3 linked regions of the Oryctolagus cuniculus genome follow. The protein of the gene in region 1 interacts with the protein of each later gene in a biochemical or structural test. Links are inferred from orthologs where the notes say so. Each region holds a gene or a part of one and is shown in the gene's direction. Other genes may lie near its edges. The genes, in order: RAB11A, RAB11FIP1 and RAB11FIP4.

Region 1 (4,136 bases):
CATGGGATGCTGGTGCCCCAGGCAGCGGCTTAGCCCCGCCACAAGACTGGCCCCCGATTTTATTTTTATTCCTGCCCTAACCAATGATCACAAACTTTTGAATGCTGGTCTCACTGGGCGAAACTCAAGGTGTCAGCGGTGGGCATTCTGTGGGGGAGCAGGGAGTGGGGGTGGCAATAGGGGGTGGGGTCATAGTTCACAGACACTTTTGGACCAGAGTGTAAACTGAGTTTGCACACAGGCGGTGGGACTGTGATACTAAGGGGCGGGGGAGGCTTTGTCTGTGAGGCTTTTCTTTGGCATTCACAGAATTCTCCAAATACCAGGAAGCTCTGCGGATCACTCGGGTCAAAGGACAAGGGGCAGCCCGTGCTCTGCCTGTCCGGTGAGGACGTAGGCGGCCACCAGATGGGACTCTTTCCTGATGACTGTTGATGAGGACGGTGGCAATGTATGGAGAGCATCCGACACATTTCCAGGGAGGAGCGGGTGAGGGGATCCTGTACTGACTGAGGCTGAGGACGGGCAATTCCAGCAAGAGGAATTCAGTTTCACTGAAGCTTCTGAATCAAAGCTGGAGGCAGAGGGTCCACGCTATAGAGGGCGAAGAGGCCAAGGACGAGCACCCCAGGGGGCAGAGGTCTTCGTAGGCGAATATTATATTTTACTTTTTCTAATTCTCACCCTACCAAAGGCAAGACCCAGTATGTCACATTTGTTGAAATGCAAATAAGTGAAGTAAATAAAAATGTGACTTCGGGGAGGAAAAAGAAAAAGCAAGCTGAGCAGGTTCCACCGAGATTTGAACTCGGATCGCTGGATTCAGAGTCCAGAGTGCTAACCATTACACCATGGAACCGCCACGCGTGTGCTGCCGGCTCCGGCCCTCTAATCCTTAGAGAACCCCGCCCCCATCGCACACCCAACCATCAGAAGCGGGTTCCACGCGCTCCCGCGCCCCGCTGCCCGGCTGGGCGGTGCCAGAAATGAACAAGAGGCCACTACGACTGGCACCAGCTGGGAAGCCGGGACTCAGGGTTTCGTCCTCTGAAACTCTTTCGGAGGGTGAGACTTGAGGACTGACGCTACAGCGGGCGCCGACGCACCGCCCGTCCCCGGCTGGGGGCGGGACGCCACCTCCCCGGAAGTACTTCCCTCAGGGGCTGGGGCCTGCCGGAAGTGGCGCAGCGGCAGGGCGGGGCTCTCCAGCCGGTCCGGCAGCTGAGGCTCCGCGCTCGGGTTACCCCTGCAGCGACGCCCCCTGGTCCCACCGAAGCCGCCGCTGCTCCCGCCCCTTCGCCTCTCGGCCGCGCCATGGGCACCCGCGACGACGAGTACGACTACCTCTTCAAAGGTGAGGCCGTGGCCCCCGGCCCTGTCCGCCCTCGGGGGGCTCGGGACACTCCCGGGGGACCCGCGTGCGGGCTGCCCCAGCCCCAAAATGGGCCTGCCTCAGCCCTTCCTTTCCTTGCGGGTCGTCCGGCCGTCCCCGCACGGAGCTTCCCACGGCCGCTCGCACCGGCGTCCCCACGGCCGCCTCCCGCCAGGCCTCGGCGCCCCTCGCTGTGTGCGTGTGTGCGCGCGTGTGTGCGCGCGTGTCCTCCCCCACCGCGGCCCCGCGCCCCTCCCGCCCGCGACCTCTCCCTCGCAGCATCAGCCCGGGCCGGCTCCATCCCCTCCCGGCCTTGGTGACAGGCCCCGGGCCGCTCCCTGGGCCTGCCCTTCGGCTCAGGCTCCCACCGCGGGGCTTTTCCCTGCGTGTCCCCTTCCCCCGCGCGAGCCTTTCTCGTCGCCCCTCCCCTCGGGCGGCCGCCCCCCGCTCCCCGGCTCGGGCCCCCACCCCACCCCACCCGCCGCGCAGCCTTCACGGGCCGGCCGCCGCCCACCCCCGAGTTGGGAACTCTGTGCCGAGGGCCGGGGGGCTTGTCCATCACCCCTGCGTGCACTTGTCGCAGTGGCCCGACCGGCGGGGACTTCCCACCTAGCCTTTTTTTTTTTTTTTTTTAACTCCTCTTCCGACCCAGCTGCAGCCAACCCGGGATCACTCGGTACGCGGCTCGCGGGAAGGGGTTGCGGATGGGTGGTGGCTGTTATCCCGGCCAGACCTGAAGGCCCAGTTCCTGAGCAGGAAAGGTTGCGCGCTGCACAAATACTAGCCTGCTTTATCACTGTGGACTGGTTGCTTCCTGCTGCAACCCTGGGAGGATCCAACAGGAAGGGAAGAGCCCTAGTGGGCCGCCTACCTTTCCCAAAAGGAGGGAGAGGGGACTTGTGTGCTCTTCGGGTCCATTTAAACCGTGGTGATCAGAGAGGGGAACGTGTGTGCCCTTGGACAGTACGTAATTGGAGCGTGGGGAGAGGCGAGAGGAGTCGGGGAGAATCCAGAGTTTTTGTTTTTTAATCAGCGAAGGTGAAGGGCTCAGTTCTCCGTAAGAGACGAGTCCAGTAAATGCTTTTTGTTCAGTGGCTGCGCTCGGCTCTGGTAGTCCTCCCTCCTGAGTGAGGGCAGCCATCAGTAGTGAGCTGAACAAAGATCATTACGGGGAGGAAGAAGCCATTGCTATTAAAGCTTTACCGTGGAGGCGGAGTTGAAAGAGTGGTGAGCACGGTGACTGTTTCTGACTTTGCCATTGGTTGCTTAGAATGATTGACCGAAGGAAGCAGGAACCATTGCTTTGCTTTACCAATACTTTTGCAAATCTCGGTGATAATATGCTCTTACCTTAGTCCTCCGAGGTGGAATATTCTATGTATAGGGTGAGTATAGGCTGGGTACCTTCGATGTCTACGACCTCCGTGTTGGAAAGTCATTACAGTGAAAAAGGCACTCGGTTCACTTTACAGAGACGAAAAGGAGACCTGCATTAGTTTGTGTACTTTTTGCAGAAGGCGTCGGAATTGATGGGAAGTTACTTCAGTCCCTGGAGCCTTTTGGGTTTAGTCATTAAAGGCAGGTTTTTGTTTGTTTTTCAAATCCTTTACAATGTCATGGGCAGTTAGCTACCTTTGAAGTACTTTAGAGCAAGGTAGACTCTCAGGGTTTTTCTCCTGATTGGTTTGGAACTGGAATGTTGGGGAAAAAAACAACCCCAGAATATTAGCCATCCTGGTTTCAGGAATTAGACCATCCTTGTAACATTGAGAGCACAGGGTTTTGGAACCACAGACACCTGAGTTCACATTCCACTCTGCTCTTGGGTTTACGACCTTGGGAAAGTTAAGTGTTTGGAGCCCCAGCTCTGAAGCAAACTCCGGGACTGGCTGATCAAGCCTGCCGGGCAGTTACGACTTTAGCTCCTGTGAGGGCTCAGTGCATTGAAGGAAGTTACTGTGGATCTTGTCCGTTTTTTGAACTTTATTTCTAAACGGAAGAGCATTTACATATTATTAAAGAAGCATAGAAGTAGGAACTTCAACTATTTTATGTTCATGGGTTAGGGCTTCATCTTGTTGTGCTGTTTAAAATATGGTGTTTAAAAATTCTGCTGAGGAGGATTTCCATGCCTTCGAAGCTCTTACAGGATATGAGTCACCTTTTTTTTTTCTTAACTTCAATGCTTGATTATTTAGCCAGTCTCTTTATTTATACAATTCTCATTTTAAAGCTAGGCAAGAATAATTTTACTTTAAAATGGTTTCCTTCTACAGAGATTTGGTCACTGAGATGAACCATTGCTGTCTCTACTTCAAAGAAGTCTTACCTAGCAGACTTAATAGCTGAAGGAAGTGGAGTTAATTTGTAACTCTAACCAGTTGGAAATGAAGGGTTGTTTGGATCAGCGTGGGACGGCGTGGTCTAAATGGGAATCTAATGTGGGGAGCGTAGGACAGTTATTCTAAATTACGTATTTGTTCTTGCACATTAATCTTCACTCAAGCTCAGCAGTGAAGCTTTTGGTTGGGGGGATTGGTTTTATTTTTTGAAGCTTGACTTTTTATTTTAAAAACTGCAGTTCTTTAAGTATTTACGCACAACATGGGTAAGATCCCGAGGGACACATAAATGAAGTAGGCAGCGGCTGTAGTTCCTGTTGACAAACACGGTATCAGACACCGGTCCAGTCTAAGTCACTTGTTCTGAAAGCATCTGGGTGTGCAGTCTTGCTCACCGCCCTTTCTTTCCTCTCGGTGGAGGT
Region 2 (3,637 bases), on another chromosome or scaffold:
GTCGCGCCCCTCCCCCACCCGAAGATTTTTGTGAAACCCGAAAAGCTGTCCCTGAAATTAGAAATTGAAATGAGAAAGTCAAACTCTCCTCAAAAGGAACTGAGCGGTGAGCCCTCCACTCCTTGTGTTCCAAAAGATGGGCCATGGAAGACAAACGAGGGGATTTAAGTTACGGTGGGAATCTGGGTGGATGCGAAGGAGCAGGAGCTTTGGGGAAATGCAGAGCTGATGCGGGGTCCTGGCCGTCCCCATAGCAGTGTGCAAGGCCTAGGATCCAAGAATCTAACTTCTGAGTGTCAGTGTACGCGTCTGTAAAGTGGGTACGCTGTCCACCCCAAGCCATTCTTGGAGCCGTACATGCACCGTGCCAGGTGTGCCATGGGTGCTGTGGATGGGTGAGGTTTCTACCCTCCTCTGTCCCCCCTGACCTGCCCTGTGAGCGAGCCCCTGCTGAAGGTGAAAGAGGAAGTTGTGCTCATGTGGGCAAAACCATCATTTCCTTAAAGTCTGGCCCTCGGCTCTTGCAAAGTAGGTCACTGAAAAAATGTCAGGATGTGGGTTCTGAGTCTGAGAGGTAGCGGGCAGCCAGGCCTACGGAGGCCGGGCAGGTGCTCGGCCCCCAATGGTCCTGCCTTGGTGGAGCACACGTTCCCCTCTGGTCTGCCGAAGATACCTACTGGGCTCCCAGGAAGGTGGACGCCGTGGGTTGGGGTGGCCTTGTGGCGTGTGCTGCAGTTGCTTGCAAGTGGCCGAGTGAGATATCTGAATCAGGTTTGCATTGCCCCTTTTTCTAATGATTCGGCTAAGGAAGAATACTTGCCTTCCAGTGTCTCCCTGTCTTTTACTGCGGCAACATACACGTAACATAAAAGTCACGTGGGAGCCGTCTTAGGTGCACAGCTGTGACCTCACACCCGTATGCATCCTCGTGTGGTTGGCACCGCCAGTCCACCGCCAGGACTGCTCCATGTCTCCGGCTCGGGCTCTGTGCCCCTCAAACACTGACTCCCATTTCCCACCCTGCCAGCCCCTGGCAGCCACCATCCTGCTTTCTGTCTCCGCGAATTTGACTACCTGGAGTAGTTCATGTACGTGGAATTATGTTGTATTTGTCACTTTATGACACATTTATTATTATTTTTTAAAGATTCGTTTACTTCTTTGGAAGGCGCAGTTACACACAGAGAGAGGGAGAAAAGGAGACATCATCTATTTGCTGGTTCACTCCCCAAATGACCGCAACAGCCAGGCAGGCTGAAGCCAGGAGCCAGGAGCTTCTTCAGGGTCTCCCATGCGGGTGCAGGGGCCCAAGCACTTGGGCCATCTTTCACTGCTTTCCCAGGCCATTAGCAGGGAGGTAAATTGGAAGTGGAGCAGCCAGGACTTGAATTGGTGCCCATATGGGATGCTGCCACAGAGCTGGCCCCATGTTTATTATTTTTTTAAAATTAATTTTGCGGGGCCAGTGCTGTGGCACAGTAGGTTAATTCTCTGCCTGCAGTGTTGGCATCCTATATGGGTACCAGTTCTAGTACCGGCTGCTCCACTTCCAATCCAGCTCTCTGCTGTGGCCTGGGAAAGCAGTAGGAGATGGCCCAAGTCCTTGGGCCCCTGCACTTGCATGGGAGTCCTGGAAGAGGCTCCTGGCTTCAGATCAGCCCAGCTCCAGCTGTTGTGGCCATTTGGGGAGTGAACCAGTGGATAAAAGACCTCTCTGTCCCTTTCTCTGTCTGTAACTCTAACTCTCAAATAAATAAAACCTTTAAAAAAAAATCAGTTTGCTTGAGAGGCAGAGAGAGAGAGAGAGAGAGAGAGAGAGAGAGAGGTTGTCCATCTACTGGTTCATTCCCCAGTTGGCTGCAACGGCCGGAGCTCTGCCGATCGAAGCCAGGAGCCAGGAGCTTCTCCTGGGTTTCCCACGCAGGTGCAGGGCCCAAGGACTTGGGCCATCTTCTACTGCTTTCCCAGGCCATAGCAGAGAGCTGGATCGGAAGTGGAGCAGCTGGGACCCAAACGGCACCCATATGGGATGCTGCATTGCAGGTGGCAGCTTTACCTGCTATGCCACAGAGCCAGCCCCCCCCCCACCTTTTTTCATTTTTAACTGTGTCTTTTTCAGTTATTCTTTAAAGAAGAGAGAGCAAGAGAGAAAGTATCTTCCATCTGCTGATTACTACCCAAATGCTTTCAATGACTGGGGCTGGGCAGGGGCCGGAGCTGGGAGCTGGGAACATAATCTGCATCCCCCATGGGGTAGCAGGAGCCCAGTGACTGGAGTCATCTCACCTCCTCCTGGGGTCTGCATTGCTGGGCGGCCGCAGTCAGGAGCCGGAGTATCAAGCCCAGGTACTGTGCAGTGGGAGGCAGGCACCTAACTGAAGGGCTCAGTACCTGTCCCTCTCTGAGATCCACCTGTAAGCTCCAGTGCCACTTTCTTAGCTGTTTGCGCATAATCTCTGCGTCCTTACTCTGTTGAGGAAACATACATGGATCAGAAGTGATTTGATGGAATGTCTGTCTCTTTATCTTTAGAAATAGCTCTTTGTTGAATCAGGGTTTTAGGGGATCATACACTAAGTAGTACATCAGATGTCGTCATTGCCGTCTCAGAAATGAGAACTCAGGGCCACCACTGTGGCATAGCGGGTAAAGTCGGCACCTGTAACACCGGCATCCCGTATGGGCGTTGGTTCATGTCCTGGCCGCTCCACTTCCAATCCAGCTCCCTGCTAATGCACCTGGGGAAAAAGCAGCAGCAGATGGCCCAAGTGTGTAGGCCCCTGCCACCCACGTGGGAGACCTGGACGAAGTTCCAGGCTCCTGCTGGCCTGGCTGTTGCGGCCGCTTGATGAGTGAACCAGCAGATGGAAGATCTCTCTCTGTCTCTGTCTCTCTAACTCTGACTTTCAGATAGATACATAAATAAATACATCTTAATAAATAAATAACAGCACAGGTTCTGCCCTCAGCCGGTAAAGAGAAAGGCTAACTCGTGTGTGTGTGTGTGTGTGTGTGTGTACGAGGTTGGTAGAGCAGAGAGGAGGGACCGTCACTGGGAGGTGGGGCATTGTTTCGGGCACTTCTGTCCCAAGGTGACCCCTCACCTGTCTCCCTTTAGGTGGTACCGCTTGAGATCCAAGCCTGGCAAGCAGGACAAGGAGCGAGGGGAGATCGAGGTGGACATCCAGTTCATGAGGAACAGCATGACGGCCAGCATGTTCGACCTGTCCGTGAAGGACAAGTCTCGGAACCCATTCGGGAAGCTCAAGGACAAGATCAAAGGCAAGAGCAAGGACAGCGCCTCCGACACCGCCTCGGCCATCGTCCCCAGCACGATGGCCTCCGCGGACAGCGACGACGAGGCTCCTTCCAAAGACAAGAAGAAGAAGTCCAAGATCAAGACCTTGTTTTCCAAGTCGAACCTGCAGAAGACACCGCTCTCCCAGTCCATGTCTGTCCTGCCGACCTCGAAGCCGGACAAGGTGCTGCTGCGCCCCGGGGACTTGCAGTCCCGCTGGGGCGATGAGGATGAGGACGAGCCCTCCTCTGCCGCCGACGGTGAGTCCCTGCCTCCTCCGCCCCTGGTCTCTCTGCCCTCGTCCATTGTGCTTTGAGAGGGAGACCAATCTGGAGATCT
Region 3 (4,117 bases), on another chromosome or scaffold:
GACCGGGAGTCCGCTCAGTGGGCTGGGTCTCTGAACACATGTGCAGATGGCATGCTTACCGGCCCTGGAGGAGATGAGGCGCCTGGAGACCACAGTGGCAGGTGGCAGAAGAAAACAGCCGGCCAGGGCGGGGCCGTGTCTGCAGGCCCCGAGAGCCCAGAGGTTTTCTCTCCAGAGAAGAGTTTGAGGGAGATGAGTCTGACAGGAGCACCCGAGGGCAGGAGGAGACAGGACAGCAGCCAGGGCACTGTCACAGCCAGGACACTCAAGGCAGGCCCGAGGCGCCAAGGGTCTGTCTCCAAGAGAAAGCCAATTCTACAAGAAAATGGGATTTACAATGATACGGCCTCGGATTCTCCTGCCAGTCTTCCCATGGCCGGAACAGGGGTTCTGAAGAACCATCTTTTCTTGGGTACATCTTCAATCTCTCTGCGGCATCTAGAGATCCGTGTTTTTAGGATAGAGTGGTTAAATCCAAGACTGCGGCATAACCTAACATTGATAGGGACTGATACATTTTTAAAATAAACCCATGGGTCCTTAAACCTGCAAGACCAGGGCCATGGAGGCCCGGCACCCCCAGAGCCACCCAGCTCCACCCCGACCCGGCTGTGAATCCGGGCCCTGCCTCCCCCAAGCAGAGGAACCCTTCTGGGTCCCAGCTGCCTCAGAAGTGAGCGCCAAACCCCGGTTCCGCCTTGGGAAACGCTAAACGCCATCCAGGGGCGCGGGCAGCAAGCATGGGTTGGCCACAGGGTGGGGGCCCGCGGTACTGGGGGCCCCGGGGTCCCCGCCTCACCACTGAATTCTCCATGGGAGGGGAGTGGGGGGCGTTTTCGGGCTGCTAGGGAGTTCCCGGCACCTGCTGCGCCCGGGGGCGGCGGGGCGGCTACCCTCCCGGTTTTCCAGCTGAGGAAGCGAGCTGGGGAAACTGAGTCCGCGAAGGAGGCGGCCGTTCGCGGCGCGCTCCTTCGCCTGCCCGGCGAGGTCTGCCGCGCTCGGGAGGGCGCGCGGCTCCTTTTGTCTGCAGCGTCCCCGCCGCCGCCACCGCCTCCCCGCGCCCGCGTGCACCGCGGCCCCCACCTCTCCCCTCCCCTCCCCTCCCCTTCCCCCCCCTTCCCCCGCCCGCCGGGAGCGGCGGGGCTGCGGCGCCGCAGCTGACACGGATCGGCTGCTGCTGCCGGGCGGAGGCTGCGCGCCGCACACCCAGGCGCGCGGCGATGGCCACGGCCATGGCGCTGGCGGCGGCGCGGGGCGGGCTGCGGCGGCGGCGGCGGCGCGCGGCGCGGGGCTCGGGCTGACTGCGGGGCCGGCGCGGATGGCGGGCGGCGCGGGCTGGGCGGGCGCCCCCGCGGCTCTGCTGCGCTCCGTGCGCCGCCTGCGCCAGGTGTTCGAGGTGTGCGGCCGCGACCCCGACGGCTTCCTGCGCGTGGAGCGCGTCGCGGCGCTCGGCCTGCGCTTCGGCCAGGGAGAAGAGGTAAGGTGGTGGTGGCGGCGGCGGCCCGGCCGGGCCTCGGCACCCTCCCGTGCCCCCTCCCGCGGCCGCTCCCCGGGCCCCAGGCCGTGGCTTTCTTCGCGGGACAAATCCCTCCCGTGCCGACCCTTCCCTCCGCGGCAGCTGAACACCTGGAGCCCGCGGTGCCCCTGCGTAGTCGGACCCCGGCTTCCACCCTTAGCCCCGTGACGGGAGCGCCACGCGTCACGCCCAGGTGGCTGCCTGCCCGCCTCTCCTCCCCGGCAGTGCGGGTGCGCGCGAGTGGACTGCAGACCCACTTGGTGTTTGGGGGGAAAGCAGCTGTCAGAAGCTGGCTTCAGGTCGCCACCCCATGCTGCGGAGACCACACGCCGGGTCTGTGCGCCCCCGCTGGGCCTGGCCCAGGTGGAGAGGGGCCCAGCGGGGGCGCGCCGCAGCCTTGGCCCCTTGGATGCACCCACCCTGCTTAGAACATCCTGCTTGCGGCCAGGCTGGACTCTGAGCCCAGTGCCCGGTCACCTCCCTTTGGAGCTCTGATGGGCAGGCCTGGCTGGCAGCTGGCTGTGGTGGCTGCCGAAGGCCTGCCAGAGCCAAACTTAGCGATGGTAGTGAGCGGAGTGGTTTTTTGTGCTGAGGCCCATCTGGGGGAAGGCGGCACCGGTGCCTCTTGTTAGCAGGGCTGGACTCAGAAAGCCGGTACTACGGGTGGGTGGACAAAAGCCCAATAACCGCGTGCCCTCTTCCTGCCATCAGCGCTGGGACTGGTGACTGTGCCTTAGGGAAGGACAGGGAGGGCACTGCGCGTTCTGATATGGGCGCAGTTCTCTTCTGGGGACACAAGTCCTGAGCAGCTTCCATGGCTGCCTAAGACCTAGAGCCCTGCACAGAAAGCTTTGGGCCTTAGACCTCAGGTGGGCGCTGGCCGAGATCTTGTTCCCAGGACAGATGGGTCAGGACTGTGTGTGTGTGTGTGTGTGTGTGTGTGTGTATGTATATATGTGTGTGTGTATATATATATACACATACAGATATATATATAAAGTTTGTTTATTTTCATCTACGCCAAAGGCAGAGCAACAGAGAGAGACAGAGAGAGATCTTCCATCTACTGGTTTGTTCCCCAAATGCTTGCAACAGCCAGGACCCGGCCAGGACAAAGCCAGGATCCCAGATCTCCACATGGGTGTCCAGGGTCCAGGCACTTGGGCTGTCACCTGCCACCTCTCAGGTGCATCAGCAAGGAGCTGGAAGCTGAGAGGCTGGGGCCCAGAAGAGCACTCCAGGCTGGGCTGCAGGTGTCCCGAGTGGCGGCTTAGCCCCCTGTGCCACAGTGTCCGCAGCAGGCCTGGCATCTTAGAACAGGAGAAAAGCCAGGTGATGGCCTGGTCGGCCCGTGCCTCTCTGTCACCTGGCAGGTGGGAGGTGGGAGATCACCATCTGTCCATGAGTGCCTAGGAGGCCCTGGGAGCAGTAAGTCAGAGTGGGGCAGGTGTCACTCAAGAAGCCTCAGCTTCCCCTTAGGGTCCGCCCTCCCCTCTGCGGGGCCTTGCTAGGGGCTTTTGCTCTCCCACCGAGATCCTTGAGCTCCCTCAAGGATCAGCCAAGCCCCTCTGCTTGGCTAGTGCCTAGCATCTGGGGCCGGTGAGCAGCCCCTTCCTCTGGGGGCATCAGCTGCAGGCAGGGGGCAGAAGCTGCCCAGCTCAGGCTGAATCCTGCCATCCCAGAACCCCAGAGCCTCAGCCAGTGCCCCCTCAAGCCTCACCTTCTTATCCCAGGCCAGACCCTCGCACACTACCTGCACGTCACATCATCACCGCTCTTCTGTGCAGGGACTCACGTGGGTCTCCGCGCTACGTGGCAGCCTTTAAATACTTAAAGCAGTGCTCCTGCCCCTTCACGCCTCCCCACCCACTCACGCCTGTTTTCCTTTCTGCAGGCTATTTCTGTGCCGCCCTGGAGCTGCCCTCAGCTATTTGCCTGGCCCCATTTCAGTGCCAGCGACATGAAGGCGTTGAGCCAGGAGACCCCCGCCCCGCCCCCCGACCTTTCCAGCCTCGGCATGTGACGCATGCGCACAGGTGGCTCCGAGCGGGGCCGCCTGTGCAGTAGTGCACCGTGCTGTGCACTCACAGGAGGGTTCTGGCCCCTGAGACCCCCAGGGCCTGCTTCAGAGGCCTCTGGCAAGGCAGGGAGGCTGCGCAGGGGGACGGCCAGGGATTTCTTGCCTTTTAAGTCTAATCGTCCATTTTTACGGAAGCAGTTGATACGTACTACGGGGAACTAGAGATGTGGACAAGAAAAATCACAGTAGTACACTCCCCTCTCCCAAGCAGCCCTGTGGTGACACTTCGGGCGGATCCTTCCGGGGCTGTTTCTAAGCTTAGATGTAGATTTCCTGCATAAAATGAGATCATGCTGTGCATACTGTTTTGTAACCTAATTTCTGTTCCAGGAAATGATCATTATTTTTCTGCTTCAGTAAATTTTCATCTCATTTCATATGCAGACCTTTTTCAGATTTCCCCGTCTGACCTCAAAATGTCCACTTGTGCTGTCATGTTCAAGCCATGCTCCTCTCTGGGAAAGTGCCGTGCGTCCGGTTGTTTGGCCCCTCGGCCTCGCTCACGCTAATGCAATTTGGGT

What was found.
Region 2: the proteins of RAB11A (region 1) and RAB11FIP1 form a complex in vitro, tested with the Homo sapiens proteins (2 studies listed by BioGRID, with this or other methods). The link is inferred for Oryctolagus cuniculus from reciprocal best matches to the Homo sapiens genes RAB11A and RAB11FIP1.
Region 3: the proteins of RAB11A (region 1) and RAB11FIP4 form a complex in vitro, tested with the Homo sapiens proteins (2 studies listed by BioGRID, with this or other methods). The link is inferred for Oryctolagus cuniculus from reciprocal best matches to the Homo sapiens genes RAB11A and RAB11FIP4.

What each region holds. Positions count from the first base shown.
Region 1 is NC_091443.1:88,885,887-88,890,022, forward strand, and holds the start of RAB11A (ras-related protein Rab-11A), read left to right. Parts: upstream 1-1,314; coding exon 1,315-1,354; intron 1,355-4,136. UniProt on the Homo sapiens protein: The small GTPases Rab are key regulators of intracellular membrane trafficking, from the formation of transport vesicles to their fusion with membranes.
Region 2 is NC_091433.1:87,723,957-87,727,593, reverse strand, and holds part of RAB11FIP1 (rab11 family-interacting protein 1), read left to right. Parts: intron 1-3,118; coding exon 3,119-3,558; intron 3,559-3,637. UniProt on the Homo sapiens protein: A Rab11 effector protein involved in the endosomal recycling process. Also involved in controlling membrane trafficking along the phagocytic pathway and in phagocytosis. Interaction with RAB14 may function in the process of neurite formation.
Region 3 is NC_091448.1:42,620,158-42,624,274, reverse strand, and holds the start of RAB11FIP4 (rab11 family-interacting protein 4), read left to right. Parts: upstream 1-1,281; 5' UTR 1,282-1,318; coding exon 1,319-1,477; intron 1,478-4,117. UniProt on the Homo sapiens protein: Acts as a regulator of endocytic traffic by participating in membrane delivery. Required for the abscission step in cytokinesis, possibly by acting as an 'address tag' delivering recycling endosome membranes to the cleavage furrow during late cytokinesis.